Linked DNA regions of Styela clava. The protein of the gene in region 2 purifies or fractionates together with the protein of the main gene of each other region. This does not show direct contact. Links are inferred from orthologs where the notes say so. Each region holds a gene or a part of one and is shown on either strand. Other genes may lie near its edges. The genes, in order: nuclear cap-binding protein subunit 1-B-like, splicing factor 3B subunit 1-like, survival of motor neuron-related-splicing factor 30-like and histone deacetylase complex subunit SAP18-like.

What was found.
Region 1: the proteins of splicing factor 3B subunit 1-like (region 2) and nuclear cap-binding protein subunit 1-B-like purify together in Homo sapiens (co-immunoprecipitation; 3 studies listed by BioGRID and IntAct, with this or other methods). This does not show direct contact. The link is inferred for Styela clava from reciprocal best matches to the Homo sapiens genes SF3B1 and NCBP1.
Region 3: the proteins of splicing factor 3B subunit 1-like (region 2) and survival of motor neuron-related-splicing factor 30-like purify together in Homo sapiens (co-immunoprecipitation; 5 studies listed by BioGRID and IntAct, with this or other methods). This does not show direct contact. The link is inferred for Styela clava from reciprocal best matches to the Homo sapiens genes SF3B1 and SMNDC1.
Region 4: the proteins of splicing factor 3B subunit 1-like (region 2) and histone deacetylase complex subunit SAP18-like purify together in Homo sapiens (co-immunoprecipitation; 3 studies listed by BioGRID and IntAct, with this or other methods). This does not show direct contact. The link is inferred for Styela clava from reciprocal best matches to the Homo sapiens genes SF3B1 and SAP18.

Annotation. Positions count from the first base shown.
Region 1 is NC_135261.1:13,146,368-13,155,159, reverse strand, and holds the start of nuclear cap-binding protein subunit 1-B-like, read right to left. Parts: upstream 3,665-8,792; 5' UTR 3,543-3,664; coding exon 3,491-3,542; intron 3,024-3,490; coding exon 2,819-3,023; intron 2,324-2,818; coding exon 2,167-2,323; intron 1,684-2,166; coding exon 1,562-1,683; intron 977-1,561; coding exon 796-976; intron 291-795; coding exon 72-290; intron 1-71. UniProt on the Homo sapiens protein: Component of the cap-binding complex (CBC), which binds cotranscriptionally to the 5'-cap of pre-mRNAs and is involved in various processes such as pre-mRNA splicing, translation regulation, nonsense-mediated mRNA decay, RNA-mediated gene silencing (RNAi) by microRNAs (miRNAs) and mRNA export.
Region 2 is NC_135251.1:15,525,846-15,533,803, reverse strand, and holds the start of splicing factor 3B subunit 1-like, read left to right. Parts: upstream 1-4,417; 5' UTR 4,418-4,518; coding exon 4,519-7,958. Other genes in the region: ERI1 exoribonuclease 3-like, read left to right, coding at 3,074-3,811. UniProt on the Homo sapiens protein: Component of the 17S U2 SnRNP complex of the spliceosome, a large ribonucleoprotein complex that removes introns from transcribed pre-mRNAs.
Region 3 is NC_135260.1:11,000,455-11,008,384, reverse strand, and holds survival of motor neuron-related-splicing factor 30-like, read left to right. Parts: upstream 1-5,343; 5' UTR 5,344-5,427; coding exon 5,428-6,180; 3' UTR 6,181-6,798; downstream 6,799-7,930. Other genes in the region: winged helix repair factor 1-like, read left to right, coding at 6,844-7,659. UniProt on the Homo sapiens protein: Involved in spliceosome assembly.
Region 4 is NC_135259.1:21,874,064-21,882,360, reverse strand, and holds the start of histone deacetylase complex subunit SAP18-like, read left to right. Parts: upstream 1-4,732; 5' UTR 4,733-4,882; coding exon 4,883-5,091; intron 5,092-7,266; coding exon 7,267-7,386; intron 7,387-7,822; coding exon 7,823-7,886; intron 7,887-8,297. Other genes in the region: uncharacterized protein LOC120332010, read right to left, coding at 1-3,855. UniProt on the Homo sapiens protein: Component of the SIN3-repressing complex. Enhances the ability of SIN3-HDAC1-mediated transcriptional repression. When tethered to the promoter, it can direct the formation of a repressive complex to core histone proteins.

The DNA.
Region 1 (8,792 bases), on a different chromosome or scaffold from region 2:
CTAGCTAAGAAAAATATCAAAGAATACAAAAATCACCTCGATACTGTAAAAAAGACATTACATAAACTTACTTCAGGGCAATCAGTATAATCAAACATTCTAAAAACAACTTTAGGCATTGGATAGGAAGACACTCCCTCAGTATGTGGTGGTGGAACAAATGTAGGAATGTTGTGTTGTAACGATGAAGACAGAATACCATCGAATGCTCGATAAGGACGGGGAATCAACTCTTCAGCCCAGCTGTCATCAGATAGTTTTACAATCTGTGCCCACAAGCACTCAAGGTACTGAAAAAATCAAAATTCAAAAATTTCTGTTAATTAAGTAGTGAAGTATCAGTTTAGATCAGTTTTTCCCCAAGTTGATTGACTGTGGACCAAAATTAGAAGCGGAATGATATTTGCAGGCCTGGAAAGTGGCGATACTGGTACATATAATTAAGATACCAGTATAATTGAATTTTTACGAATATACACATGCTTAGACTTTGATAATGACGCAACAATTGGCAAAATATCTAGAACACAAGAAGAAAAAAAATATAAAGTGGTGAACTATTTTACTCAAGTTACGCTGGCCGTAACAGCCGAAAGCAGGAGACAAATAAAAAATACTGTCGACTCATACATTAAAGTTAATAAAACAAGTTTTATGGCACATATTCCACTCTGATTTTGTAAGTAAATTGCAAACAATACATGCTAAGGTTGACCCTAGTGATCACAATCCATTGCGAGGCAAAATATTGAAAAGAATTGACATCCCTTTAACAATAAATGCCTATGATCTCACCTCTTCTTGTGGATGTGGTTCATCTGACGACCAGACTCTCAAGAAACTGTGATGGATTTTTTTTCTTTTCCTAGTGATGTATTCATGCAAGGCAGATAAAACTTGATTTAATTCTGTTGACCTCTGATCTTGTAACAAAGCACCAACCCATGGCAGAGAAGTTAATATGGAATATGCATACCTGGAATAGTGAACGTATATTTGTTAATTTTATTTAATAAAAGATACAGCCAAAGGTAGCAATTTAATAATATGCTGAAAATGAATCAACTAAGTGAAAAATTATAAAATAGAAATTCAAGTTATTTAAAAATTGTTTTACTATTCAGAACTCAATCACATAGATACCGATTTTAGGTCTAAATAAGCATATCTACGCCCAATATAATGTTTTAACTTTTAATAATTTTGAAGTAAAATTGTGAAACCAACATATAACATAGTAAAAAACATCAAATGAATAAATATTAAATTACTTAGTTTTGGATATATCATTGCCAGCTGATGTGACTTCTGGCTTCGCTAATATTTGTCAAATTTGATCTTACCTGTCTACCTTATTTTGGATATTTACTTTTCTTTATTTTGGATATATATATGTTCCATCCACATATTTTCAATGTGTTTTTCGAATTATACATACTTTCGCTCTACTATCTGTTATTTGTAGCTTATTGTTAATTAGTTATTTTTGAGCTGGGGCGCGATACTTGACAAATTCTGAAAAGGGGGTCCGGCTTAAGAACCACTGATGTAAAATACTCACCAATCTCTGCGAGCTTGAGGAACATCTTCTTCTCTAATTACAGTAAATAAATTTTCGTAAAATCCAAACAATGATTCAGGAGTAACCATGTGGCAATTGACAAGATCTGCAATAAACTTCACCTGAAATTGAAATACAAAATTTTAGGAACGTCGACAATAGCAAACAGTATACTATCATGAAGTATCTTCTGTGTCTGCAATGTAGAAAGTTTTATACAAACACGAGAAACATCAACTATATTTGGAAATTTATAATGCTCTGGCCTCTGGGTGATTGGTACGCATGACCCCTTTTTTCATAACTAACGGCACCATCTTAGTTAGATTCTACATGTTCTAAATCAGGGGTGTGCAACCTTTAATAATAGAGAAGGGCCAGATACAAATAACTGGGTAAAACTGCGGGCCGCACCTTTATTTAACATAAGCTGTCTAGTAGTTGCAAGCACAAACATTTTGGTTGTTGATCTCATGACATTCGTTGCTCGCTACGCACAAGCAAGCTGTTAGGACACGGTAACTTCAAAGGCATAAATAATACTAAGATACCACTACTACTGCATACTACTAAGATACCACTGCAGAATGAATATATATACTTACAACATGTCGAGCATCATCGTACTGATTAGCATTTAACAATCTTTTTAATTCACGAACCATCATTTCAATAAAATCCCCCCCACAATTGTAATTTCGAACATTTAGCAAACCAACAAGAGTTGTGTATATCGTACATTTTTCTGGAAGTTGATAAGAGCTGAAATACAAAATGTAGATGTAAAAATATAAATAAATAAATTTATATTTTAAGGGAATTTTTAACTGTCTGTATGATTCCTTGTTTTTTTTCATCATAATTCATTGATCATACCTCTGTAGGTTATTTAAAAACCTATATAAAAACATATATTCCCTTTTAATTCAAGAGCCCACGACCTGGCTTTGAGCAAAAAACACTCCAAAAATTAATACCAATGTATAAAAGGAAGTAATGGCTGAATTTACATTAACATAAATTTTCCTTTTATATGTGCTGTTATATGTTTTATTCATTTTTTAAGAATTACTCATTCTAAATGCAACCTAAAGTGCTCATTTGAATATAAATATTATACCAGAATATATAATATATGGCAATCACTAATCACATTTGGGTCCCAAATAAAACTGAAACTGCAAACTTTTAGGTTCATAAATATGAAGAAAATTTACATTTACTAAAAAAATCACATATAAAAAATAAAAAAAGTACCATAAAACTAAAATCCTTAAAATTTGAGGTTTGAAGTTTGGTAGATCTGCTTCAAGTACAACCGACAATCCTTCCAAATTGCTTTCCAAGGATGAACTGCTTTTTTCTCCAACTCTACAAATTAATGATTCAAGTCTCTTCTCAATTTCCTCAGAACTTTCCGTAGTCTTTCTTCTCTTTGAGAGATTTCCACCACTTGCTTCAGCTGGATATAATACATAATTTATTGATAGTCTAGGATTCGAAAATATTCTAATAACATTTGAAAATATTGGAACATTGTTATTCAAATTTAGCAGAATTTGCCACTTTATGAAATTTTTTGCGAGATTATACGATATAGGCAGGCAGTCCTATTTGTATAAATGCAGAAATGAGTACACATGTACACGGATAGTCCTATACCTGCGTCGAATAAAATGTGGTTTGTGAATCGGACATGCTGTCGCTAAAAACACACAATTATGTGAAATATTTTGATATGTGAACAAATGTCCAATGAGATGCCAGGATGCAAAATTATACGGAAAAATTGAACGATTCTCTGTCAGTAAAATCTTCTAAGACCACTATATAAAAGAATAAAGTGTGTAATGGGAGGAATGTTTTTACATTTGTAGTGCTCATTTTAGTAGTTAAACCTGTATACTGAAATAACAATCAATACGATACCTTCATCTTCTGATGACGCGTCCCTTGCATCATGAGGTCTTCTTCTTGACATTTCAACCGAAGGATAGAAACAAATCTCAAGTTTTTTTAGTTATACATTGACTAAATTCTTAAATTTGACTTTCTGAAGTACTGGTACCGGTACTACAGTACTATACAGAAATGACAGAATAAGAAGCTTTTGAAGTAATGTCTCTGTGAAAATTCAAAGTTAACATTCTGACATTAGGTCTCTGTGGGGCATTCGAAGGGATTATTGGAATAGCAGGTCAGCCTACTTGTTTAGCAAATAAATACGGTCAAATTTATTTAAAAGGTTAAAATCAAAATATATTTTTAAAATCATTATTTCTGAATTATAAATCAATTAATTATCAATCATTGATTTCGGTAGTCATAACATACAACTAACATAAAAACGTAAAAGTACACGCCCGCCCATCAAAAAAAATAATAATACAAGCATACAAAAAACACGATTCAGAATCGGGCAAAGCTTCCACATTGCTGAAGGGATCTATGGACAACTTATAACAAAATTTTGTTGGATAAACTTAATGTAGTTAATAAACTTCTAACGACTTCTTCCTTCCAATTATGGTAATTGCAGAATTGAGAGATCACTAGAATTTGGTTATTCTAACAATAAATATTGTAAAAATCTGCTGAATTGACTGATTGAGATACTGCTGTACTGAGCTAAAAGTCTCACACTATTATTTTTTTTGATGGGATAATCTAATAAGTAGCCTATAATATATAAGTACAGAAGTATAAGTTTTTAGTCTATATAATGAAACATAACTAAAAGTACTGAAGTATATAACCAGGCGAACAGTCATAAAATAAATAATCCGTTATTAATTTTTCACATGTCAGTATGTCTATTGCATCACCAATTTTTAGTATATTGAGTTATAATATGTACGGTACAATAAAAGTGAAAAATTAAATATATTCAGATATTAGACATGTTCATTTTTATACTAGTCAATTTATACACACTTGATTCATAGTTTAAATACAATTTCTAAGTAGACTATTTCAAATTCCCTGACAAAATTGGGTAATTTTCTATTTTTTTCAATGTTGAGTCTGTAAGTGATTGCAGTTTTTATTTGTTTGATAACTAGGTGCTGATCAGGGGGGATACCGTACCTTCGAATATAACAGAATTTCGTTGTATCCATATTTTATACCGGTATCTAGTATTTTATTTTTATTGAGAGAGAGAGAGAGATTTATTTTCGTCAACCAGAAAAAAAAAACAGTCATAACAATAAATAATGGTAACAATATATACACTTTTTTCGGTATAGACTGGAAGGAGCGATACGACCATGCGGTCATCGGAGTCAGCTCCCTCCAAGTTTACGCTGATTAGTTCACAGTAAAATATGACTATTTGAAGTGGTTAAAATTCATGAAACAAAATTTGAAAGAAAAGAAAAAAAAAAACGAACAAAACAAAAAAATGGACTAAGCAATTGTTCGTGTTAACATCTATATATACAAACAAACAATTTGAATAAACATGGTAATACAGAAAAGTTATAAAACTAACAAAATAAATGTGGTATGATGCAACTAAGAAGCCCATTACTATTTTTCATTTGAAGAAATATTGCATTCATTTTGGACTGGGAGAATAATTTATGAAGGGATATTACAAGCATTCGTCATGGATACATATTTGGAAAATATATGTAAGCGGGATCGGGATGCTATTTATCGTTTTGATATTACATGTGATGTTGTTATCTAATTTACCTAAATTGCCTGCAATTGGGCTACAAATTTCAATAGCCATCGACATGTGATGATTAAAAACAAAATGAGAAAATAAGAGAAGGGCTGAGGCGCATTATACAAATTGAACAAAAAAAATATAATTATTTTAGCAAAGTAAATTTTTAAAAGATAAGATTTGTCTTTGAGAAATGAAACAGTTTGAACGAATAATCAACTATTACACAGACTATTATTTGAAAGCGAGGTCTAAGTCCCATGAATAAAAAACAAATTTGGCTATTGGACTACTACACTCAAATGTAATGTTGGACACATAACAATTGTTTGAGTGAGTAAGCGGTAAGCCTCACATATAAAAATAAGTTTCCGGAGATAAACAAAATGGTACTCATAGTCATGTGAATATAATATTGGGAAACAATTGTATAAAGAGTGGAATCAGCCTTATAACAAGAAAGAATTTAGACAGATGGGTGACTAATACCCACAAATACATATATAAGTACCAATTTATAAACTATTATATGCCCCAAATGTGAAACAATTTTGGTAATCTTAATATCGAGTGGAAATTTGGATAAATAAACATTATTTGAAATAGAGAGGGTCAGCCTCTCAAATGCACAAAATAGACCTCAATATAAAGAATATGGCAAGGGTTCAGCCTCAAAATTAGATGGCAGTTATTGCAAATACACCAATGGTTCTCATAATATAAATATGAATAAATAAACTATTATTTGAATCAGCAAGGGTTTGCCTCAAAATTAGATGGCAGTTATTGCAAATACACAAATAGTATTCAATATATAAATATGAATAAATAAACTATTATTTGACTTAGCAAGGGTTTACCCCAAAATTAGATGGCAGTTATTGCGAATACACAAATAGTATTCAATATATAAATATGGATAAATAAACTATTATTTGACTTAGCAAGAGTTTGCCCCAAAATTAGATGGCAGTTATTGCGAATACACAAAAAGTATTAAATATATAAATATGGATAAATAAACTATTATTTGACTTAGCAAGGGTTTGCCCCAATATTAGATGGCAGTTATTGCAAATACGCAAATAGTATTCAGTATATAAGTACGGAGAAATATACTATAATTTGAATCAGCAAGGATTTGCCTCAAAATTAAATGGCAGTTTTGGCGAATACATAAAACAGTACTCAAAATATAAATAGGATAAATAAACTATTATTTGAATCAGCAAGGGTTAGCTTCAAAATTAGATGGCAGTTATTGCAGATACACAAATAGTACTTAATATATAAATATGAAGAAATAAACTATTATTTGAATCAGCAAGGGTTAGGCTCAAAATTAGATGGCAGTTATTGCAGATACACAAATAGTACTCAATATATAAATGTGGAAAAATAAACTATTATTTAAATCAGCAAGGGTTAGGCTCAAAATTAGATGGCAGTTTAGATTAGATTGCAAGGGCACCAATGGTGCTCATAATATAAATAGCCTATGGATAAATAAACTATTATTTGATTATTTGATTGGCTCACCCAATGAGTTAGAGAGAGAGAGAAGGTTTATTTCATTTTGTCAAACCAAGAAAACAATTTATGCACACATAAACAAATATCAAAAAAAAAGTTTTCGGTATAGGCTATGACTGGGGGGCAACGATACGACCTTTGGGGGTCATCAGAGTCAGTTGCCACCCAATTATATTAAATAAGAATAAAAATGAGTGATTTAAATAAATAGCCTATGCAAAAAAAGAATAAATGTCTAAACAAAATAAGTCCCTATTCCTTTGAATTCCTAATCCATTTGTTGAAATTGATTTTCATAGTTTTTTCAGTTTGTTTCATCAGTGATTATTAGTTCACAATATTCTGAGTCTAACGAAGTAAACGCCGCAACCCAGACTGGCAGATTCCATGACAATGCACGCCCGAGGGCGCTAGCGCTCCGCAAAAATGCACGCGAGTGGAGTCAATTTTGCACGCCGAAAATTTGCAATTGCTCACCAATGAAACCGGGTAAAATCAGTAATATATATATTTACGGTCAAAATAGCTTTTAAATCAAAAATCGAGTAGGCTAATAATTGAGTCCCACCGAGTGTTTATGTTACACAAGTTTGACGCCCGAACAACACCGGTACCCGTTCGTGTCTTTGTCTTTTTTATTTTGAATATATGTTTGTGTTGAATGTGGGTAAACTGGCGCATGTATATTTACGTATATTAAAACTTTATAAAGGCTTTGTCAGTTTTCCCCGATTTTCCCAATCTTCTCTGTGTTAATTGTTTGTATTTTGTGTATGATTTTTTTGTGGAAAAATTAAAATGTATGCCAACAAATCGTAGCTCCACGATCGATTGTTGACTACATGGTAGCTTGCAAGATTCGGCTTGATCGAAAAATGCGTAGCAAAAACGACTTTATTTCATAATTGCTTGGTGGTGTGGCGCATCGTGTTGAATGATAGGTGTTAATAATGTCTTAGTTATATGTTACGGTCAACGGTTATATGTCAACTGAATACGCTTACACTTTTTTATTACACCAGCGCAACACACAACATAAGATGCTTACAGCAACAGAACATATTAGAGAGTGACGCAACTGCGACACGTTAGCACCAGACACATAGCTCAATCAATTATTATGGACGTTACTCGACAATGCATTATTAGCCATCATCAACAATAGGAATTCGGTTAATATAATTATGTGCGAGTAGATTGCTGGACTCCTCGCCGACGCTAGTCAGTTACGACTTCCCCCACCAGCGAAGTATAGAAATAATGTTAGGGGGTTAAAGGTCAAGCGTCAATTCTCCTCTGATATAACGTATTTTTTATTCAATAAATTTAAGCGGATGTACTAAACAGTATCTAAAGTGGCAAAAACACTCTCAAAACTAATGACAAAGTATAGAAATAATGTTTGAGGGTCAATGGTCAACTGTCCATTTTGCTCTGATTCAACGTATGTTCTATCCAATAATTTTACGCGGGTGTACTAAACAGTATCTAAAGTTGTAAGAACACTCTCGAAATTAATGACATAGTATAAAAATGATGTTTGAGGATCAAAGGTCAAACGTTCTGCTCTGATTCAACGTATTTTTTATCTAGTACTTTTACACGGATGTACTGAGCAGTATCTAAAGCCAAAGTCAGTTGCACGCGGGCACAGTCGTTTTGCACACAGTAATCTTTGATTGTACGCCGGGAATTCTGATTTGCATGCGGGAATTTCTGATTGCACGGCCAATTTCTGGTGAAAAAGGGCAAGAAATCCAGACTGGGCCGCAACTGCTTCATCTGCTGGGATAACGACAAACAAAATGTGATGTGGAATCTAAGCCTTAGATTCTGAGGCAAGCATTTCAGTGTGCTTCTCTCTCATGTCTGCGAGATCAATTGAAGGCTCTCTGGGTTCGAACAGAGCCATTCCGATAGACTTTCAACTTTTCCGAGGCGCTCAATGCATTTCCTATTATGGGATTTGACAGAAATCAATTTATTGCGTCGATTTTTCTTGCATTATATTCGCCTGATCTT
Region 2 (7,958 bases):
GTTACGTCACTTGTGTTTGGTTTTACATTGTTACGTCACAATAATGCCTGTAGTTGTGGAGGTGTTTTTCACTGGTTTCCAAGTCAAATGTGAGCTATGTTGATGAATGGACATTCGCCTGTTGATTTACAAATTATCATGTCCACCGGTGACAAATGTCGGTGACATTTGATTTCACCTATAATGTGGATTGATATCAGTACGCATTTGAACCACTAATTATAGGTCTCTTTTTGCATTTGAAGATTTTTTTACTTTGTTACATTCCCAATATGTTTGTATATGTAGAATTTTTTGTTGCTTGATTTTCGTATATATTTTTTAAAGCAACAAACAAGTGTTTTTTCATTCAAGTCAATCATACTCATTCTGCTTTCCGGCCACGAAAGACAATACAGAGAGTGAGAGTTTATTTGTTTTGTTCACCAGAAAAAAATTTACACAACAAAAAAACATAATTATCAAAAAGCAAAACAGTTTTCGGTATTGACTGGGTGGCAACGATACGACCATGCGGTCATCGGGTCAGTTACCACCCGATAGTAATATCAATAAACATGAATAAAAAATGGTTCAGATATGTTTTAACGTATTTCAGGTGTGTCTAAAAACAACATTAAGTTTCCATGGAAAGGAAATACACAATAGGCAATAACATATAGGCGTTTAACGCTAAATAAAATTTCGGAAATGTTACACACTTGATCAAGTGTGGTATTGATCAAATTTGACATGAATAAGTATTTTTGAGTAAATGGAGCATAAATTGTGTGGAATCGGGTATTTCGGATTGAAGAACACACAATAACATTTTGTGTAAATAGTGAAAAAATTGCGCAGCATATATATAAATCATTAAACAAAATCATTACAAAGTAACAAAATAAATTAAAACGACAGTTTATAAGGTACAAAAAAACAATAAAAATTGCAAGATCTCAAAATTGAGCTTAAGCTGGAATATGCAAAATAATACAGTATATGCTTTTTGTGGGTTTTATATTGTTGAATGACGCGTACTGTAAATTTAATAGTATGATTCCAGTGAATATGAACACCCATAGATGTTGCTAATATAGCCTACTCCATCGATTCGCTGGAATGAGATAGGTGTACAAATACTTGAGAGGAGGTGCCTAAAGGTAAATTGAGTGTTCCCGCTTTGAGAGTACCTATCAAGTAAAATATTGTACATGAAGGCATTAAAAGTCAGAAATAAAATGAGTCTTATAGGGCTAATATTGGAATACTAATGGAACTTAATTTCGGGGAATAATTGAAAAATAGAATGGAGAACAACCCATGTTAAATTATAAACTACAGCCAATACACGCATACAAACTTTCAAATGTTATTGATATACTTTTAATTTATGTGTATTAAACTTATTATTTTAGTAAGTTTTTAATTTTAAATACTTTTAATGCGTAAAGGTACAAATATTTGAAATTCGTTTTTTTTTATACAAGTGTAGATGTGGCAACATACTTTCTATTCTATACTGAAACGCATGAAAAACGTTTTGCCATGTAGCGTTGGTCGATGGAAGTTACGGGCTGGCCACTATTTGTTTGGCCCCAAATTCTATTATTCATTGGAAGAAGTGGATTAGGAGGAGGAATAAGTGCGGTACATTATACATACAAAAAATGATGTGGTAAAGTTGCTACTACACTACTAGAGCTGTGGCTCAAGATTTTTTACCTTTTTGGCAGAAAACATAATGATGTAATGTCAGAATGTCAGACAGACAGGTCTGCAGGTGTTTACATGCAGACATGTGTATCGATATAAGGATGTACAGACGTAGAGCTTGAAAAGTTAACAGTGATGGCCATCATCTAATACTTCAGTATTTCGAATACCCGTACATTCTAAAAAATATTTTCAAATCTGGAATTCCGAATACATTCTAAAATCCCCCACATACAGACATAGCTTCATAGGTACCGGTACAGGTACCGACATAAATATTATTCAGTTTTCTAAAATCCAAGTACATAGGAATTAGGCTTTACAGCTTTATGAATGTATCATTGTAAAACAGTCATAAGTACAAACAGACAAATGGTAAGTCAGATATGATTGAAATTAGTGATTTTCTTGCTTCTAGGAAAAGAAACCTGTACCGGTATTACTGTACCGATATGAACATTACAATTCATATAGGCCTATCTATGAATTGTGGTAAACTGGAAAGCACAGAGACAGAGCAGCTAGGCGTCCAGTGAAATGTTTTAAATTATGCAGTAAAATCGAAGTCCAGAAGTCCTCATTAACAACACACACACTTTTTAACACCGCTAATTTTTTGTTATAAATCCTGACTGTTTATCGTCAGTGTAAGTGTCATTTAGTCGAGTGTTTCCCAACCGCCGGTCCGCGAAAATTTTAATGTGTTTTTCTACCGCCCCAATCGCTTTACTGAAGCCGAAAAGAGGTAGTTACGTTGGTTTATTACGCAATTTCTCTTCCGCCGTCATATTGCTGTTTGATAGGTGTGGTATGGCCCGGTGACGTTTGGCGCCGAGTAATCACACTTTTCGCTTTTTCGGTTCCGATTCATCGCGAATCGCTCCGTCTAATCTCGCAAGTTTCCAAAATCTGAAAATGAGCATGCGCGCTCTTTCTGTTCTGCACATTATTTGATAGTTTTTCCTCATGTGAAATGTTTTTAAGTGTACCCTTTTTTTTTGAAGAGTATATACTGATTGTCCGACATTGTGCAAATATATGTTCTGTTCCACTCATTTCAATTTTTGCCGGTCTGCGAGTACACTTTATTTAATTTTTCCACCATGGTAGAAAGGTTGGCAACCACTGATTTGGTCCATCGACATTGTTAAGCTAAATTCCACCACAATTATCTCAGGTATGCACAGGTATTGGGTGCTGTACTACCACGGGTAGTTATTTTTATTTTGCTCACAAAACTATAAATTAGTTCAGAAAAACGCAACTGTTATTACGCGATCATCGTCTTAATCAAATGAGTGGACCCGGTCCCCAAATTTTCATCCATTATAAGTACTTTATTTGAATATTTTTTTTTCTATTGATCAAATTAAGTTATATGATGCTTCTGTTGAAAAAATACAATAGAGCTCAAAGTTTCTTCCCACTCGTACTGAGCTGCCGTAATATATCAAGGAAAAAACAAGTGTTACTCACTGATCTTGTGCAGAAGAAGCCGGAAGACTTGAGAAGGCATCAGATATATGACTATTTCATTGTTCTTGATTTTGAAGCAACTTGTGAGAGATCAAAACTAACCTATGATCAAGAGATTATAGAATTTCCAGCATTTAAAGTTAATTCATCAACATATCAAATCGAAGAATGTTTTCATTCCTTCGTCCGACCAACTATACAACCAATATTATCAGAATTTTGTATGCAGTTAACTGGAATTACTCAATTCCAAGTAGATGATAAGCCTACTTTAAAAGAAGTTATGCAATTGTTTGACATTTGGATGGAAAAACATGTCCTTAGTGATAATAAGAACTTTATTTTTTGTACATCTGGTGATTGGGACTTGATGAAAATGTTACCCAGTGAATGTAAGATGAAAAATTTGACTTTACCTAAATATTTTTATCCTTATGTAAATATAAACAAGTCGTATGCATTAACGATGGGAAAATGGCCTAGACTTGGCAAAGGTCGACTCCATGCTATGCTGCGATTGTTAGACTTGGAAGTTTTTGGTGAACTTCACCAAGGTACGAGTGATTGCGAAAACATGATTCGTATTATGGAAGTACTGTCTAAAAAAGGTCATATTTTTAAGCCAACATCAACTTCATAGGACTGAAGTGAAATTGATGAATATTTCTCAAAAATTGTAATTGTTGAGGGTGTAGTGGCCCATGTGGAGTGCGGTTTTTGGGGCCAAGTTGATGTGTGTAGCTAAATGGGATACTACAACACTACAGTTAATAAGCCACATCTGGTCTTAACTGTTTTTTGATCTACTATTAAAAACTGATTTGGTAATTCGGTTTGTAATATTTCATGAATGTTTTTGGGAAATTTGAGATATAGTGAATATGTAGGTACCTAATTCTTTTGTAATAGCTTATTGAAATCCAACAAGCAATTTTTAACAAGCTTATTCTATAATTTTTTGATACTTGCGCTGAAATAATTAATTTGAAAGGATCCAAATGTATGAGTTCCAGATGAGCTTTATGTTCAAAATTTCTAGTGCTCCTAAGTCATCCATTGTTCTCCATATCAGGCTGAATATTGTTTGTTTTGGCCAAGTAGGACATGTGTTAAAAGCCATCTTGGTAACTACTGGTGTATCATGAACTCCAGTCTTGTTGAATGTTATTGCATTGGCGCTTGTAACTGTAAGTATTTATAATTGTTTGCAGTGAGTTATACTGCCTACAGGCACAGCTTATCGAAAACTAATAAAGTGCTAATAACTTATTGCTTTTTATCTTTTAGAATAATATAAAACACTAAAAAATATAGTATTAAAGGTATTCAAATACACGTTGCCTCGAAATGGCAACAAAGGATGATTATGTGTCTGAGATTGAGGCGATCCAAAAAAGGAAAGTTGCATTGAGCAAGAATGAAGATGAGGGTTCCCCTGAACAACCAACAGATGGTGAAGCTCGAGTTGGACTCGGTCAAGAAGGTCATTATGATCAGGAGATCTATGGCGGTTCGAATAGTAAATTTGCAGGATATGTAACATCCATCGCTCCAAATGAACAAGAGGATGATGATGAAGTTGAAGATGTGAATGCCGCTTTACTGGGAAAACGACAGACATACACTGCTCCTGCAGCTGTTCTTAACGATATCCCACAGAGTGATGAATCTTATGACCCTTTTGCAGAAACTAGAGCACAACCTATTCTAAACAGGGAAGACCAATATAGAAGACAAAGGTTACAAAGAGCTATATCTCCTGCACGTCATGATCCTTTTGCTGATGGTGGTAAAACACCTGATCCTCAATTGGCGCAGTACAAAGATGTTATGACACACCAAGCTCTTACTAAAGAAGAACGGGAAATTAGATCGAAAATTAGTGAAAAGCTGAAGTCTGGTGATGTCCATGTAAATGGAAATGCTAAAGCTGTTCAACCTAACGCTGCACCTGCTCAAAGAGAAAGAAAGAGGCGATGGGATGCAACTCCAACCCCTGATGCACCAAAAAAACGAATGACATGGGACCAGGCTGATGCTTCCACTCCTGGACATGCACCAACACCATTGCGATGGGATGAAACACCTGGCAGACCAAAAGGTGGCGAAACACCTGGAGCAATGGTAACACCAGGACAAAGTACCAGAATGTGGGATGCCACACCTGGTCATGCTACTCCAGGTGCTACAACTCCTGGACATGCAACCCCAGGCATCGGTGGTACACCGAGTGCAAGTGTAAGGAAAAACAGATGGGATGAAACTCCCAAAACGGAAAGAGAAACCCCTGGCAGAAATATTGGATGGGCTGAAACACCAAGAGCTGATCATGGAGACGAATCTGAGAGAATTCCTGGTGGTACCAGCAAGAGAAAATCAAGATGGGATTTGACACCAGCTGCTGCCACACCGGGAAGTCAAACACCGGGGTCTGCTACTCCAGTTTTTACCCCTGGTGGAACTCCAAGCGCATTCACCCCAAAATCAGGAATGGGAACACCAGGCTCTTTAGGAACACCCTCACTCTTTACCCCTTCAGGTGTCACACCCATGGGTACAAAAGCAATGGCTATGGCTACTCCAACTCCTGGTCATTTGATGTCCATGACACCTGAGCAACTTCAAGCATGGAGGTGGGAACGGGAAATTGATGAAAGAAATCGCCCACTATCTGATGAAGAGCTTGACGGAATGTTCCCTGAAGGTTACAAAGTTTTGCAACCACCAGCTGGTTATGTTCCTATTCGTACACCTGCAAGAAAAATTACTGCAACTCCAACCCCAATGGGAGGATCCACTGGGTTTCATATCCAGGTTGAAGACAAGTCGATGAAAGGAATTACTGATCAGCCGACTGGGAATCTGCCATTCTTGAAACCTGATGATATTCAGTATTTTGACAAACTACTTGTTGAAGTAGATGAATCAACATTGAGTTTAGAGGAACAAAAAGAAAGAAAAATAATGAAACTTCTACTCAAAATCAAAAATGGCACGCCGCCAATGAGAAAAAGTGCACTGCGTCAGATAACAGACAAGTCTCGGGAATTTGGTGCAGGACCTTTGTTCAATCAAATTTTGCCATTGCTCATGTCACCCACTCTTGAAGATCAAGAGCGTCATCTTCTCGTTAAAGTCATCGACAGGATTCTTTACAAGTTGGACGATATGGTTCGGCCATATGTACATAAAATTCTTGTCGTCATTGAACCACTTCTGATTGATGAAGACTATTATGCCAGAGTGGAGGGACGTGAGATTATTTCAAATTTGGCAAAAGCAGCTGGACTTGCTACTATGATTTCCGTAATGAGACCTGATATTGACAACATGGATGAATATGTGCGTAATACGACTGCAAGAGCCTTTGCTGTTGTCGCATCTGCCCTTGGAATTCCCTCCCTGCTTCCCTTTCTGAAAGCCGTTTGCAGGAGTAAAAAATCCTGGCAGGCACGTCACACTGGAATCAAGATTACACAACAGATTGCTATTTTGATGGGTTGTGCCATTCTCCCACATTTGAGAAACTTAGTTGAAATTATCGAGCATGGTTTGGAAGATGAACAACAGAAAGTAAGAACCATCACTGCCCTTGCTTTGGCTGCGTTAGCTGAAGCTGCAACACCTTATGGTATCGAATCCTTTGACAGTGTGCTGAAACCTCTCTGGAAAGGTATCAGAACTCATAGAGGAAAAGGTTTGGCAGCTTTTTTAAAGGCTATTGGGTACCTCATTCCACTTATGGATGCCGAGTATGCAAATTACTACACTCGTGAAGTAATGTTGATCCTGATTCGAGAGTTTCAGTCACCTGATGAAGAAATGAAGAAAATTGTACTTAAAGTGGTGAAGCAATGTTGTGGAACGGATGGTGTTGAACCCCAGTACATTAAAAATGAAATTCTGCCTCCCTTTTTCAAGCATTTTTGGAACCAGAGAATGGCTCTCGATCGACGTAATTACAGACAATTAGTTGACACAACAGTTGAAATTGCAAACAAAGTCGGTTCAGCTGAAATGGTGCAACGGATTGTGGATGATCTTAAAGATGAAAATGAACAATACAGAAAGATGGTTATGGAAACAATAGACAAAATTTTGGTGAATCTCGGTTCAGCAGATATTGATCACAGACTTGAGGAGCAATTGATTGATGGTATACTGTATGCATTCCAGGAACAGACAACAGAAGACATTGTGATGTTGAATGGTTTTGGTACTGTGGTCAACACCCTGGGTAAAAGAGTAAAACCGTACCTTCCACAGATTTGTGGTACTGTTTTGTGGCGACTCAATAACAAATCAGCGAAAGTTCGACAACAGGCAGCAGATTTAATTTCTCGTATTTCTATAGTGATGCGGACATGTCAAGAAGAAAAATTAATGGGCCATCTTGGAGTTGTGCTTTATGAGTACCTTGGTGAAGAATATCCAGAAGTGTTGGGTTCAATCCTCGGAGCTTTGAAGTCTATTGTTAATGTGATTGGTATGCATAAAATGACTCCACCGATTAAAGATCTTCTACCACGTCTCACACCGATTTTGAAAAATCGTCATGAAAAAGTACAGGAAAATTGTATAGATTTGGTGGGCCGTATTGCTGACAGAGGCGCTGAATATGTAAGTGCTCGAGAGTGGATGAGAATTTGTTTTGAACTATTGGAATTGTTGAAAGCACATAAGAAATCAATTCGTCGTGCAACTGTCAACACTTTTGGTTACATTGCAAAAGCCATTGGTCCACACGATGTTCTTGCAACACTTTTAAATAATCTTAAAGTTCAAGA
Region 3 (7,930 bases), on a different chromosome or scaffold from region 2:
GTGTTGAAAATCTCTTCGACAAAGTTGATGAAAAAGAATAATTGAAAAATATTTGATTCCTCATTTCAGACTAAAACGTCAAACACCAGCATGAAACAATGTGGGATTACAAATATAAGAGTCGGGAAATATTTTAATACTACCTATCGTGCTCACCTCTCTACCGACGACTTCCAACTCGCCAAACAAAATTTCATCAACCCATTGTTTATATGTTTTATCAGTCTATCATAAACTTGTTACGTTCATTTAACACCAATAAAAATTATGTTATTCTATAAAAAAAAATACTCACAGAAATCAGAGAGGTAATATTGGCAAGTTCGCCTTCAACAACGTAAGTTTCTCTTGTATCAAGCTGCAAAAAATCAATTCCAGGTATTGTATTCAGATATCAATCAGATCAATTCCAGATATTGTACTTATTTTAAAAATAAATATAGGAATATTTGATGTCAAATAACTGAGACAATTTACTGGCTTGAAAACTAAAACTCGTTGAAATATACATAGAAAAAAAATATTGTCCTTAGCACAAAGTTTACAATTTTATTGATTCAGAATGCAAAATAATGAACAAAATTCAAACGCACCTCTCGAATCTTGATTTCATCTTTATCTTCCAAGCTCATATCCACCGATACTGATAAACTATCAAACTGAAATAAAGCCGTTAAAAAATTTATAATTACAAACTATGGCAAAAATGAAATGCAGAAATATTTTTGAATCGTTTTTTTGCATTTATTGGATATTGTTAAAATATAATATAATCTACCTCTCGATCATTGTATTCAACAAACTGGAGACTGGAGCTTCTTCCAGCGATTTAAAAAAAATGTAATAACGATAAATAAATATAAACTTCGATTTTATTCATAATTATAACTGACGTGTTCTAAAGTATGTCTGACAAAAAAAGGAAACTGCCATACTTGTAAATAGTTGCAACTTGATATCGAAAGAACATCGCTCCCATTGAGTTCCACATAATCCTATAATTATCAACAAGTTAAATTAAAAAGATGATAATTATCAATTTAGTAGACTTACTCATAATTTAAAAAACGACATAGGTAAAAAGTATCAGATATACGTTTTTTCATAAGATCATGGTGTAGAATTTGTTGAAAAAACACGATAGAAATTCGGTTCCCAAATCAGTAACAAAAATTTCTTGTGAAGATTTAAATTACCATGATATTGTATGATATATGCGTTATGAAGATTTCAAGTTTAACCAATATTTCCCAGGACACCTTCTTCAACGTTATTTTCAACTTGTTCTATCATCCAGTTCATTCTTTTAGCTACTGCCATTGCAATCTAGTAAATATATTTTTGACAATATGAGTAGCGTATAAGAATTACATAAAACAATTTTTGCACAGCTCACCTGAATCTCTGTAGTTTTCTCTTCCTCAATATTGGCAGTTTTGACCCATAGATATAAAATTGTAACGGTAAACTTAAATTGATGGATATTGTGACTACCTAACTGAATTTACTGCTATAGCCTACTAGTCAGCATGATATTTTTGGTGAGTGTACGAATAAAGTGCCAAACCCAATATATCGATGGATGAAATTCATCTCCAACATTAAATTCCACTCTGATGTAAAAGGAAGTGGTGTGTTTCCTGGCGAACGGAAAATGAACTCGGCTGAAACGAAGAAGAAATATGTGATTTTCATTAACTGTGGGCCGACACGCCTCAAAAACCTTGTCGAACAATTCTTAAGTGCACTGGAGTTTGAAGAGAATTTTTAACTACTCTATGTTAATATATATATCGATATTCTAGCTATACCTTACCCTATTCCAATCTAAAAATAAACCTGGACTCCCCTCGGCCTGAAATTATAAAGTATTAAGGCAATGAAGGCATGAACTAAAATATATATAACTATGATAATAGAACTTTTTACATGAAAAATAATTAGTCCGAAGGGAGGTAATAGAGCCAGCATGTAGTCGGCGATTCACTTCCATCTTAATCCTGTAAATTAAAGCGTAAGTATTCTGTAATAACAGATATAATATATAACGGTCAATATTAATTTGAAATCTTTATCAATAATAATCTTACCAATGATCTAATTTTAGCTATTCTATATCCATCTGAAAAAAGAGAATTGAGTTTTATTGAGATGTTATTGCACGCAGTGCATTCGAGTAACAAAACAATAGTTAACATAAACTCACTCTTTTCATGTAATCGAGACTATTTCGTTCCCTCAATATTTTTTCGAAAGGATGTGGAGCAGTTGGTTCTCGACTGAGATTCTGAAGAGGAGTGATAAATAATACAGCAAGAAGTGCTTGAGCGTGTCGTGAAAAAAGGAGAGAGCATAAAGTATATTATAAGACCGCTCGAGACGTCTACGATTTTCATTGCTAGTAATAATTCGAAACTACAACAAAATGCGCTGAAATTAATTGGTATTCACAACTATCTTGAATTGTTGTACCCATGTCCTATACTCAAGTACAAGAAGATGCGGAACATAAATTCGTGTTTTATCCTCGTTTTGTGAATTCTAACAATATATTTAGGAAAATCTTCAATGATTTTCGAAAACCGCTAAAACAATTCTAATTATTTATTTTAGTCGGGAAAACTTTCAAGTCACAAGTTATAAGTTACCTCGTTCAAAATCGACGGTGATAATTGATACCACAAAGATGTTGCTTCCTCCCTTTTTTTGCAATGTCCAAAACAACATGCGTCTTGAACTAGTCTGACAGGCAGGCTACAGGCGGAACGACTTTCTGCAACATCAGGTGCCTGTGGCGTCAATTGATAAAAAAAAATATAGGTATGTTCCATGTTGTCTGATCAACTCCACCGGCATTAACCTTCTTCCTGCCGTCTTCCCTGGGCCAATTTGCATGAGTTATTTTTTAAATATTTTATTTGTCAACCATCAAGCCCTAAAGCTTCACTCGTGGCTTTTTAAAAGCGTGTGCTAGAGTTCTATTTAGCAATATATCTTTAAAACACACTCCTCTGATAATATTTTATTTTCTCTGCGATAAAATTTCACGCGTGACTCGCATGTCACCATTTAAAAGCCGTAAGATGCGACTGATGGTCAAGTGGCAAGCTGCGTAGCAACCCACTTCAATACTGTCAGAGCAACAACTAATAATTTTGCAGTTTGTAAATTTGTGATAATATATATATATAATTTATACAAGGAAACTAACAAACCGAAGTTTGTATAGTGAGCTAAATTAACTAGAACTGGTTTATAATCTGATATTTCGACCGCGAATTTAGTGAAACGTTTTTTTGAATATCTTGACTGATGTGGTATTTACTGTAATATGTAACGCATTTTAAAATGTTAGATAAAATAGTGTTGAACGGAAAATTAGTACATGCTTTTCACAGCCGATGTGGCAAAATCGCCACCTTGTTCCAAATTACTAAAGTAACCGATGTGTTGTCACTTTTAGTTAAATGTAGCTTTCGGTAGATCAATCCATAATTTTTTATGAGGAGTTCATCACACTTTCACTTCAAACAAGGCTATTCACACGCAGCCACTTGTGCGCAAGAAGCTACTATTGTAGGGAGGGCCGTTTCCTTCCTGTTTTGGCTTTCCCTCCTTCGTTTTTCATAGCCGGAACAATGTGATGACTGATGACCATTGGTTTTGGTCGGAGATATTGACCCTGCGATGCCAATATAGTTAAGTTCTATATGTGCAACGCTTTACTCACTATTTCATATTTCTTCAAAGTTGAATGAATGAAGGAGTTGACCCATTTCCATCATTCAAGACTACAAAAAAAGCAGTAACTTTTTTACACCCTGGATGATTTGAGCGTAAATATGGTTTGAGTGATTATCACTAGAACTCAAGATTTGTAATCAGGGAATATAATATTTGTTTGTTTATTACAACTCACATTCAACACGCAAAAACTTGGGATTTTTAGGATTTTGGGGATTGGGATTGCCAGTAAATAGAAATACCGTATAAATATAAAATCCAAAATCGAGACTTTTGGAGAATGTCCCAACCATTGAGGTGTACACTACAGTATTTATACACCTCAGTGGTCCCAATCGATCCTTGTGATTGGCTTGTCACGTGACGTGACTGCGCACCAGATTTGTTGTTTGACGTTTTGGCGATGTTTCAACTCAATCCTTCAGTCCCTTCCCTAGGTCTGTAGGTTCGTTCGTTGGCGTTTTGAAAGATCATTTTCCAGTTTTAACGCGAGCGTCTAAATTTATAATGTTGCCGGTACTCAATCAATGTACAGGTGCCGCGTATCGGGGTACGTATGACGGTATGGCAGTATCTGAGTATGGACAATCACTATCAGACTATGGTAAACCCTGAATAGGATAGGATAGTATTTACATATTTATCCCAGGGGAGAGGAAAGCCGATAAGACGGCTTATCCATATGGCAAACCACGGCCTCTCGTCCGGTTACAATTCCTAGTCGGTATCAGGGTATGGGATTAGTTATATTGTTTGTTTTCGGAAGCATGGACTTGGTGGTGGAGGAAGCCGAACGGTAACCGACCAGCGGTTACGTGAACCACCCAACGACGGCAAGGAGTCCAGCAATCCTCTCGCACATAACCATCCCTGCATGGGATTCGAACCTGCGAACCCACGCAGAGTAATTAGAGGTGCGGTGGCGAGCGTATTTCTAACACTTAGCCCGTTGAGCCACACCGCCACGCCGCGCTGAATCCACAAGATTCAGAGATTTGGGATACCGGTACCTTCATACCGGTATTCCATTTTTTTATTTCTGCTTGACCTTATACTGTTACGGTACCTAACAGACTTCTAGGCTAGTAGTAGGTGTGGCATAACAATTTTTTGATAAATGTATTGAATGGTATCTAAAGTCAAAGTCAGTTGCATGCGGGCGCAGTTGTTTCGCACGCCCGCAAGGGAATTCTGATTTGCATGCAGGAATTTCTGATTGCACGCCCGATTTCTCATTCAAAAAGGCCATGAAATCCAGACTAGCCACCCTCGAAACCTTAATAATAAACTAGTGTACGGTAGGCCATAGAACAACAGGTGTCATAAACCTGTACACATTATATTAATTAAATTTTCATCAGGTTTAGTACGGTATAATTTAAACTGCTATATATCTCAATTTCCCCACTACATTATCATTAATTTAGTGTTCACTTGTAATATTTGGTATATCTGTATAAAGCCCAGTCCTGTACCTGTAGTCTAACAAATAAAATGAATTTAAATAATTGTACTGATTTCAGGATTTATACAATTCAAGTTTGAAATATAGGAATGAGGTTCTTCGTATATGTACCGGATTGCAGAATTAATAAATGAATAATTTTACCATTTTGCAAATACAACAGTTTTGAAAACCTTTAGATCTTTTAAACCTTTGAATTTTTATTAAAACAAAAAATCATGTCTGCCGAATTGGAAGCAAATTTGACAAACTATAAAGTGCAATTAGCGCAAGTCGAGGCAGCTCTATCAGCAGATCCTGAAAATGAAGAACTTAAAAAATTGAAGCAAGATCTTGAAGAAGTTATTCAACTAACTAAAGATTTAATGGGAGTAGAAGCTGCAAAACCTTCAACGAAAGCAAAAACAACAACTGGAAAAACCGCCGAAGAAATAGCAGAAGAGACTGTTCAGCCTGACAGTGGTCCTCGTCATATGTGGAAAGTAGGTGACCCATGTTATGCAATATGGAGTGGAGATGGGAAATATCACAAAGGAGTACTCGAAGAAATTTTACCTGAAAGTGCAACAGTTGCAGTTCGATTTGATGAATTTGAGCAGCCAGATGTTTGTCAATTAACGCAGTTAAAACTGCTTGCCGATGGTGACAAGGCTGGTTTTAAATCAAAAGCCAGTAAACGGGAATTAATGATTCAACAACGTGAATATCGTAAAAAGAAAAATCAAAGAAAGAAAATGAGAGCAAAAGAGAAAGAAGCTGAATCTGAAATTTCGAAACATAAATGGAAAGAATTTAATAAAAAAATCACACATAAGTCTATGAAAGGTGCCGTCAAGAAAAGTATATTTGCATCACCTGAAGGTCTTGTTGGAAGAGTGGGAATTGGTACTTGCGGAACTGCAGATAAAGATATGACAAAATATGATGAGGGTGCTAAATATAACGCACGGCATCTTGTGCCAAAATCATGAAAGGGTGTTATAGAACTTCACACCTATATCATTTAAGTAAGATGGCATGTCTTTCAGGGATAGTATCAAGCGACATATGACAAAGTTCATAATCTTGTTACCAAAAGCATTCTTTCTGGCATTTGGATAATATGAACTGGATGAGGAAATTTATTATTTTTGGCTTGTTTTAGATTATGTGTATATTTTTGATAGGAAATGGCATGGTATTAATGTGTCCATGGATATTATGATGAAGTCCCAGTCATTTGTTTAGAGAAATGATATTTTTCATGCCTTCAATCTATTTATATGCTTGATGAATGAAACAGAATAATCGAAATAAAATATGACTGGAATTTAGATTAGATGTTTCGAATCTTGTCTACTATTTTGCTGTTTAAGTTGGATAACAGTTAAACTTTTTCTCCAGTGAAAATTAATCAAGAATGACTGGCTGTCAAAATCTCTAGAGAAATAGTAACGTCATGAGGGGAATCTTTATTATTTCTCGAGTTACAATGATGTAAATTGTACCAATGTACTTCTACTATTTTTTTTCAATCCAACTGGATGTGAATTTACTTCTGTGAAATATTCAAGCTTGTTTTTATATTACTTTATTCTTTTCTCTATAGATCAGCATAATTACTAACACTAAATTAAAATATTATTTGTCACGGAATGAAGAGACGACATACTATATTACGTGGCTCTCCTGGAAACAGCAAGAAGTCCAAAACATTCATACCTTGGAGTAATGGAAAACTAGATTCAGAAGCTAATATAACTGATGCAATGAGTGCAATTGAGCACATTAGAAATATATTTCCACAAGAACAACTGCAGAACCGGTTTCCGCCTATTGTTTTTAAACATCAATTGTATGCTTTATTGGAAAATAGAACGACAGTTGATCAGCAAGTAAATGATCTTTTTGAATGTGGACGAATAAAAATATTTCATTTGGAACATAGAAATGAGGAGCATATGATTGTATTAACAAAAGATTTTATTGCTCACGTCAATCGATATCACAATATTTCATCTAGGGAAGGACGGGGTGAACGTAAAGATGATAAGAAGTTAACTAGCAGGGAGCAAATCATATCTCGATTTTTGATCGAGGTTATTGGAAGTATATCAGAACTTACTATTACTGAACATACAATGATAAATCAATATGGATTTAAAGATAAAGACATTACAGAGTTGGTAAATGCCGGACTTCTAACTTTAAGAGATGCTGGAAGTTGGTGGTTCTCTATACCTGGCGCTGGTCAATTTATAAAGATTTTTAAAAAAGGAAGACAGGCAACAATAAGAATGATTAGAGCTACTAAGAGCAGAGAAATTCTATTAACTGAACTCAGGTCTCGTAAATCACCTGCGTCTATCAAACTTGGTCTAACATATCACACACATGATCTAGTTGGATCTGATTTGATAAAGTGCATTCCTTCCACCAGTGGACTGGTTTTAAGGATAGCAGATGATTAGCACTTGGCAGTGATCTTCTGCAATCATAGACAACTCACATTCCTGTGATAGCTCCTACTAACTGGAAGATGTTTTAATTTTGTGCCTAGATTAGCACAAATCGTCAGTATTACACTGTGCTTTTCTCTTTATATTGCAACACTTTAGTAGATATTCTAGTGGGATGCATGTCGAAGCTAAGTGTTCTTTTTCGATTTCCATGTTTAGAGTTCATACTATTTTGAAGTTCTTATTCTATTGTCTAGTCTTTATAGGTAAATCATATAAGTGG
Region 4 (8,297 bases), on a different chromosome or scaffold from region 2:
TGCCACTTCTGATGCATCACAGAATATATGAATTTCATACGAGGAACTTTCACATTTAACACCTTTAAATTGACGTGGAATCGAAAAACTCTTTAAACATTTCAGCGAATTTATCCAATTTTCCCAACACTTCAATCTCTTATTATCAAATACTTCGTCCCAAGCTAAGTTGTCACGCCAACATTCCCGCAGTAATAATTTGGCATACAAAATGATTGGTGCTACAAATCCTAATGGATCGAATATTGAACTGGTTACACTAAGGGCCTTTCTTTTCGTGGTAAATTCAGTAAATTTCTGGTGGTCGAATATAAAGCAATCCTTCTCGATGTCCCAATGCAAGCCCAGAGCTTTTCTAACAGGTAATCTGTCCAGATCTAAGTCAACATTAGTGACGACACGTCCACTGGATATTTCACGTAAAACCGATTTAGAATTCGAAACCCACTTGGTCAAGTTGAATCCTTTATCGTGTAACATCTTAATCATATCTTTAGCTGTCGATACCGCGGAATCAACATTCCATTTCGAAGTAAGTAAATCATCGACATAAAAGTCTCTATCGGTAGTTAATATTACGTCTCTAGGAAACTTGTTTCTACTATCGTACGCAGCTCTCTTCAAACAAAAGTTTGCGACATAAGGTGAATCCACAGCTCCAAAAATACGAACTAAGAATTTATACACATCTGGCCGTTTGGTTGAAAAAAGGTCTTCCGACCAGAGAAAACGTGCAGAATCCGTATCATCTTCCGGCAATCGAATCATATGAAACATGGCTTCTATATCGGCGCTTATAGCGATTGGTCTTTCCCGAAAACGTAAAAGCACCCCGACTAGATTATTGATCAAATCGCGCCCGGACATCAATCGACTGTTCAGACTGACGCCGCAGCAAGTAGATGCCGCGTCAAAAACAATTCTTAGTTTATTTGGCTTGTTGGGATTTTCAACGCCATGATGAGGCAGAAACCAAGTTCGAGGACCGCGAAACGCCTTTTCATCTGAAGTTAGCTTACGCACCCAACCCCTTTCAATATTCTTTGCCATTTCTTTACAATATAAGTTTCGCAAACGTTCGTTTCCTTGGAGTCGTTTTCTGAGATTTTCGAACCTGTTAAGCGCTACGTGTTCGTTTTGCGGCATTTTGCAATTTTCATTTCTCCACATAAACCCAACCTCGTAATGACCGTCGATAAATCTAATTTTTCTTTCCATCAAATTATCAGTTTGTCTATCTTCAATCGACTCGCTACGGGTCAAATTGTACGCCGTGCCTACAGCTTCAGTGGACCAAAATCGCTCAACTTGTTCTTGCAGCATGTTATACTGGTCACGCAAATCACAACACAGCATATTTGAAACAGTTTCATCTTCATTAGTCGCGCCTGAAGACCCGATCAAAGTCCAACCGAGAGGAGTTTTAATACCCACTGGTTCATGTTGCTGGCCGACTCTACGTTCAAGCTGGAAATGCGCCAAGGGATTATCGGCTCCGATTAAAATCATGGCTTTGTTCGCTTCAATGTCGGTTAACGGAATATCCTGCAGGTGAGTCATATTGTGATCGTTCTTAAGGATTCTAGCTGGATGTGGTATGCGTGACTCGACCACAAACACGTTGCTTAACATCAGAATTTGACCACTCTCGTCGTGAGCAGATCGCACCGACAATTTCACCACCTCCGTATTTTGCGAAACGCCCTTATTGCATAAGGTGTTAATGGTTAGACACCTAGGACTTCCTTTCAAACCAAGTTTTTGTTTTAATTTGGGATGTATTATTGAGATTTGACTGGCAGAATCTAGAACAGCGATAGCATATTCAGAGGATCCCAATGGGCCTTTTACTACGACTGGCAAAAGCTGAAACTGAACACCATTAACGCCTGAAACATGAGAATTGGCAACGCCGCTCATTTGAGGAGGGAGATCAGGCTGATTGTTATCACTCAATCTATTAGGAACGACTCTCAAACCATGGATGGCTGAATGATGCTTACCGGGACAAACACGACACATATTGCGGAACCGGCACGAAATAGCTAAATGTCCAGGTTCGAGACAGTTAAAGCACAGGCGTGAATTTAGTAGAAATCTTCTTTTCGTGTCATTGGCACTAAACCTGAAGCTATCGCAGTTACTTAAAGAATGAAAACCATTGCAATAGAAACATTGCATTCGCGGTTGTTCGAGCGGCTGATTTGAATGACCCGATAAAGGGTATACCACATTCTTCTTAGGAAATGCCTGTCTGCGATCGTCACGATCTATTTTAGTACTGAAAAGATTTGGTGAAAAAGGATTTCCTAATTCCTCGCATCGTTCCCACAACCACTGCTCGAAGTCCAGTAAACTCGGCATTTCGTCGGCACGAATCATATCAGTCACAAACTTATTCCAACTCGAGGTCAGTTCTGCCGGAATTCGCATTGCTGTCTTTCTAACATTTTCAATACTATACAAATCTGCAAGCAATCGCATTTTCTTCAAATTTATCACAATGTCGCGAACTTCAGAATGAAAATCGGATATTTTTCGGATACTGAATTCTGTTACTCGTCTACCATCTACAACCTTCTCGAGAAAGGCCCGAGCAATCGTCACCCGTTGGCCGAATATATGTTTCAATTCACTCAACGCGACAATATAATTACTTCCCACCGTGCCTAAGCCATCGACATGTCGTTTAGCCACCCCCGTCAAAGACGCGACTAAGCGAACCATACGCGAACCGTCGTCGTCAAGAGAACTGTGTACATTATCAAAAAATAACTCAATAAAGTTTGGCCATTCTAGGGGCGTTCCGCTAAAACTAGGAATCGTAATCGGCGATAAATGGTGCTGGGACAATATTCTAGAATTCAACTGTAATGATAACATAGTTTGTTCCTCTACTGACATATTAAAAGAATTAACAGAAAATTTACCAGACTGGTTAGGTTCCAAGTGGTCAATCCACGCGTCGACTGCTTCTTGTGGTATGAGCATTCTGTTTGCAGGAGACGGGCGTTTGTAAGTTCGTGCTGTCGGGAAGTGCAATTCTTTGGTCTTTTCTGAATTTGTTGCCACTTGACTCTTCGTCGGAACAAAAAAGTTCACTGCACTTCGTCTGCGTGTTGACTCTAACGGATATTCAATATTGACGCCACGGAAGTTATCTTTAGGCATCTTTTTGGTAGCCAATTCAGTCTTTTCTTGTTCAATTTCACGCATAAGTTCGTCAGCTTGGCGACGTGTTAGATCTGCCATTCGTTCTTTTTCGTTTATATCAAGGCGACGCTCTAGTGCTGATATTTTATTGCGAATGGTATCTTCTTCTGTGAGAAAGTCTCGTTTAGCCATACGTACAAGAGAATCGGCTCTTTCTACCTCTCGTTCTTGCTCAAGTTGCAATCGCTTCAGTGATTCAACACTGCATTTGCTTGTATTGGATTCGACAGACCCGTGATCAGAAACGATCTCCTCGTCAAGGTAAGAATTAATTCTGCTTTCAATTTGATCGATTTTCGATAACATCATTTGCCTTCCAGTTTCATATTTCTTCAAAACATTTGGATTACGGGTAGTCGGAATGAGTTTATCCATCACTTGGTCATAAGCAATTCGTTTAATATGAAGTTTAATTTTAAGATCAGTAGCGATAGAATTTTGAGCATTTTCAGTAATCGATTTTGAAATTCTGTCGCACAAACCATTTAGTTCATTTTGTAGTCGGACTCTTTCGTGGCATAATACATTGCGTCCAATAGTTTCAGAGTTACCGTCGTCTGTTTCCGCGAGAGGAACTGCAGGCGAAGAAGAAGCTTCTCGTCTATTCAAATCTTGTGTAATTGATTCATCTGCTTCGTTCATCGTCGTCGCAAGGAGATTTGTTCAACTTTGTCACTTTTGGGACCCTCAAATGATAAGTCGATTTGCCAGACTCGTTTTATTGAAAGTATTCAAAACGGTTGACTAAAATACAAATGAAATAATTAGCACCAAATAAATCAAAGACAAATGATACAGAATATAAAACTAATACTTACACAAAACAACTCCATATAACAGCATAGTCCCAAAACGACAGATATACAACCAAGGTAAAACAGTAACTATAAATGCAATACCATACGAGCTGTAGACATGCAAATATCATAATGTTATATCGAACGATTCGAAATACAGTATAAAAGAAGACTATTGAATGAATTCAAACTTCAACGTTATAAAGGCGATGTAATCTTAAACTGCCATAACAAGAAATGAAATCCTAAACTGCTACCACCAGAAATGCAATCTTAAACATCTTGCTGAGCTTAGGGGACGATAATAAAATAAATACGTAACACGATAACACGTGAAAGAGAAAAATGCGACACGTCGAATACGAGAAAACAACACAGTAATGATGACGACGACGAGATAGCGATAATCATCACGATGACGATGTACAACTGAAGGAATCCTAACTAAACTAAACTTTAGGACCACACGGACTGCCGACATGTTGTACTTCATATTTTATTACATAGTTCATAGCTTGGCGGTAAAAATCCACCCTTCGGTTTCAGTCTTGCTCCACTAACAGCTGAGTTATTTGATTCGGTACAACAACACGAAGAAAATTCCCCATAAGACTCCATTGTATCGCGTTTTTCAAATATGGCACAAGATGGCGTCCATGGAGCTGTTTAACATTAGGCAAGTTGGTTGCTTGGCCTGGGCCGTCCTAAAACGCGGAAATACGATTTTGATTGACAGCCAACGGATTTGCTCATTCGCGGTACCTCTAGTGCGCGTGCTCTTCTGTGTGTTACGTGACGATAGAGTTGCTAGGTTTTATCTCTGCTTTCGTCTGTTATTTTGATAATAATTTAGTAATACATAAAACATAGCTATGCCTCAAGCTGGTTCACTGGAAGACCGACTCAGGAGTGTAGCACAGGACGCGCCAGCGGAAGAAAAGCCGGCGCCAAAGCCAGCTATTGATAGAGAGAAAACCTGTCCACTCTTGCTGAGGGTTTTTACTTGCAATGGAAGACACCATCCTCTGAGTGATTATGCGCGAGGGAATGTGCCAAATAATGAATTACAGATTTACACATGGTAAGTGTTGTGTTTGTACAATCTTGTTGATTTTTAAATCGTGGACTTCTAATCAATGACATTAGTTTTCTGAAATACATAAAGCAAACTAAATTGGGATGATTTAATCATATTCCGAACAAATTCTCCATGTTTAGTGTTCAGTTGAAGCTTAATCAGAAATATAATAATGCGTTTTTTCCATCTAAGTTTTTGATTTTATTGTCAGATGATATCTGTCCTTAAATTACTGAATTATCAAACTCCAATTGCTGAATTGTTCACTGTCACTTTGTTGTGAGAGAGAGTGTATAAAATAGGCGTGTGTAAAGTGTCTGGTCTCGTATCTCGAGTACTCCTAATGGGCTTAGTATAACAATTTTTGCACATGTCATTCCTAACCCCCACCTGACTACGCCATCTCAAAATCGCAATTAGCCAAAGAGCTTGCCAACGTATAACTGAAATTGCATCTGCACCGACGATAAAGAACTCGACTCTCATATCGGGATTATTGCGACGAGAAAATGAGAGAAATAGCTTGCTCGATTTTGCACAGTCGCACATTACTGTGTTATGCTACGCCCACTAGAAGTAAGAAACTACACTGAACCCTTCACAATCAACGATGCATGATAACCGTGTTTCGTATACATGATTTCACTGGTACCTGTTTTGCATCGCACATACGTCTAAGATAACGCCATTCTTGTGAGTTTGTCAATATTACTCATGGGCCCGAGTCTGTTTTACTTTTGTGTTATTGCACATAATACATTCACACAATTCATCACCACAATTGCTTGGCGGTATGGCGCATCGTGTTGAATGATAGGAATCCTGTGAGAATAGTTATGGGCGAAAAAAACGCCAGACTCCTCGCCGACTGACTCCTGGTCAGTTACGGCTCTGATTCAGCGTATTGCTCATCCAATAATTTTACGCAAAAACACTCCCAAAATTGATGACAATGTATAGAAATAATGTTCGGGTCGTCCAATTTTGCTCTGACCCAACTTATTTTTCATTCAATAATTTTACACCGATGTATGTTTATTTGCCTCAAAAATGTAACAGTACCGGTATCTGCATAATAGTTAAACGGTATAAAAGAGACTGGATACATTTTCAAGACCTTACCGGCCTAAGACACAGATGTGCGACATGCACGCTAACAAGTATAACTGCAGTTTAGGACTGCTGCGTTATAGTAGGACAACGAACATGAAAATTACAAATAAAACTCTTGTGCAATACACAGGACGAAGAGGTACGGCACCACGATGATATGTACAATAGGCAGTTTATGGCACGTTCATGTCCAAGGTTCTGATGATGGAGGGTATAAATCGAAATCGCATTTTTGTGTGTTTTACGGTAGATTGTACGAAACAAGTAAAAATTTATTCGAGACATGAACTAGCCAAAAACCAACGTTGGGTGGGACCACGACACAAAAGGGTTAGGTTCTAAAAAGGTAAATAATATAGGACATATGTAGAAATTCGTTGTTTACACTCGAGTTGGTAATTCTAAATTGTATGCGACAAAAGTAATGAGAACAATAGAGTCTGGCATAAAATGCAGGTCAACTTCATAGGCGCTATTGTGTGGAATTTATTGTCACCACGTCTCAGCATGATAAATTTAATTTGTATAAGATGATCTTTTCATTAGCAAGGATCCAATGAAGTAACTGTACAAAGCTAATAAACCATAAAAATATGCAGGAACTAGAGACAATGGAATAGTGGGTTGCCCGAGACTTGTTTCCTGAGCAATGGAAGTTGGTTGCATTCATGATGACATAGTCAAACGGAGATATTTTCATCTGCCAGTCTTTTCTCAACTTTTTCCCACCAATCATCAAAGAGCCCTTTGTATCTGAAAAATAATGCCTGGAGATTAGAATGTCCTGCACGAAAGCTAATATAATTCCAATAATTGTGCTTTAAGTTTTGATCTAAATGTACTTAACAGTACCAGTATCCGGGAATTTCTGATTGCACGCTCTATTTCTCGTTCAAAAAGGCCATGAAATCCAGACTGGCCTGTAGTTTTATCCAGGAATAATCTGAGTGAGGGCTCGGAACTTCGCTCAGACATGAGACTCCCATACTCCTGTGTGAGTGCTCGTAACTTTGGTCAGCGAAATTAAATATATAAAATTAACTAGTCTCATCCCTTTTTACACAGGATGGATGCAACATTGAAAGAATTAACAAGTCTGGTGAAGGAAGTGAATCCTGACGCTCGAAGGAAAGGAACAAAGTTTGAGTTTTCTACAGTTTATATGGAAAGAAATGGACGCCATAGGTTAGTTGAAAAGTATTCACCGTAAAGCTATCAAATAGCTTCTGATATTTCAGTGGCGCCCATACCTTGCTCAGATATTGTCTCATGCACTCTTGAATGGTCTTTCATAACCTTTCTCTCCTTTACTACCGAGTACTCAGAGTTATCTTTACTTCTGAGTGAGTGCCCGTAACTTTGCTTAGAGATGAGTCTTCTTTACTTCTGAGTGAGTGAGTGTGTGTTCAGAGTAATATTATTAAAAACAGTTTAAAAAAATACCCACCGTCGTCATTGAGGTTTTTTTTTAGTTAATTTAACGCAACTCCATCACACTGAAATGCCATTTTTGATTCCATTTTAATATTCTGTATCATGTAACATTGGTTATTCTCAGTATGGTGAAAAATCATTAATTAAACAATGGAACGCTCAATATTTCTCCACTATATTTTTATAGGTACAAAGACATTGGTCGAACAATGGCAGGATTGAAGGGGCCAGATGACAACGTTACTTTACAGGTAATTTTATCCGCACTATGGGAATGTCCGTCATATAACATTCCACACTGGCGGAATTCAACCCCCATTAAGAGGATTTGAAAATTGTTTCTTTATATAATGTTATATATATTTAAGGTGTCCATAAGTCTTTTTTTAAATTGCAAAGAATTGGCCCTTGGAGATGAATTAAATGAATCAAAAATTACTGATTTAAAAACAACAAAGCTTGTTAAGCTATATTAAGAACTGACTTCATGACAAAAATTAAAAGTACTTTATGGACACCCTGTATATTAAGACTTGCTTTGTCATTTTCTGTGTAGCAATTCCATATACATACATTCATATATATTTCCCTTCAATTATTTTTGTCTGGAAAGTGAGCATGTCAGAGGCTACGGTTTCCAATATAATTAAGGTTTTCAACTT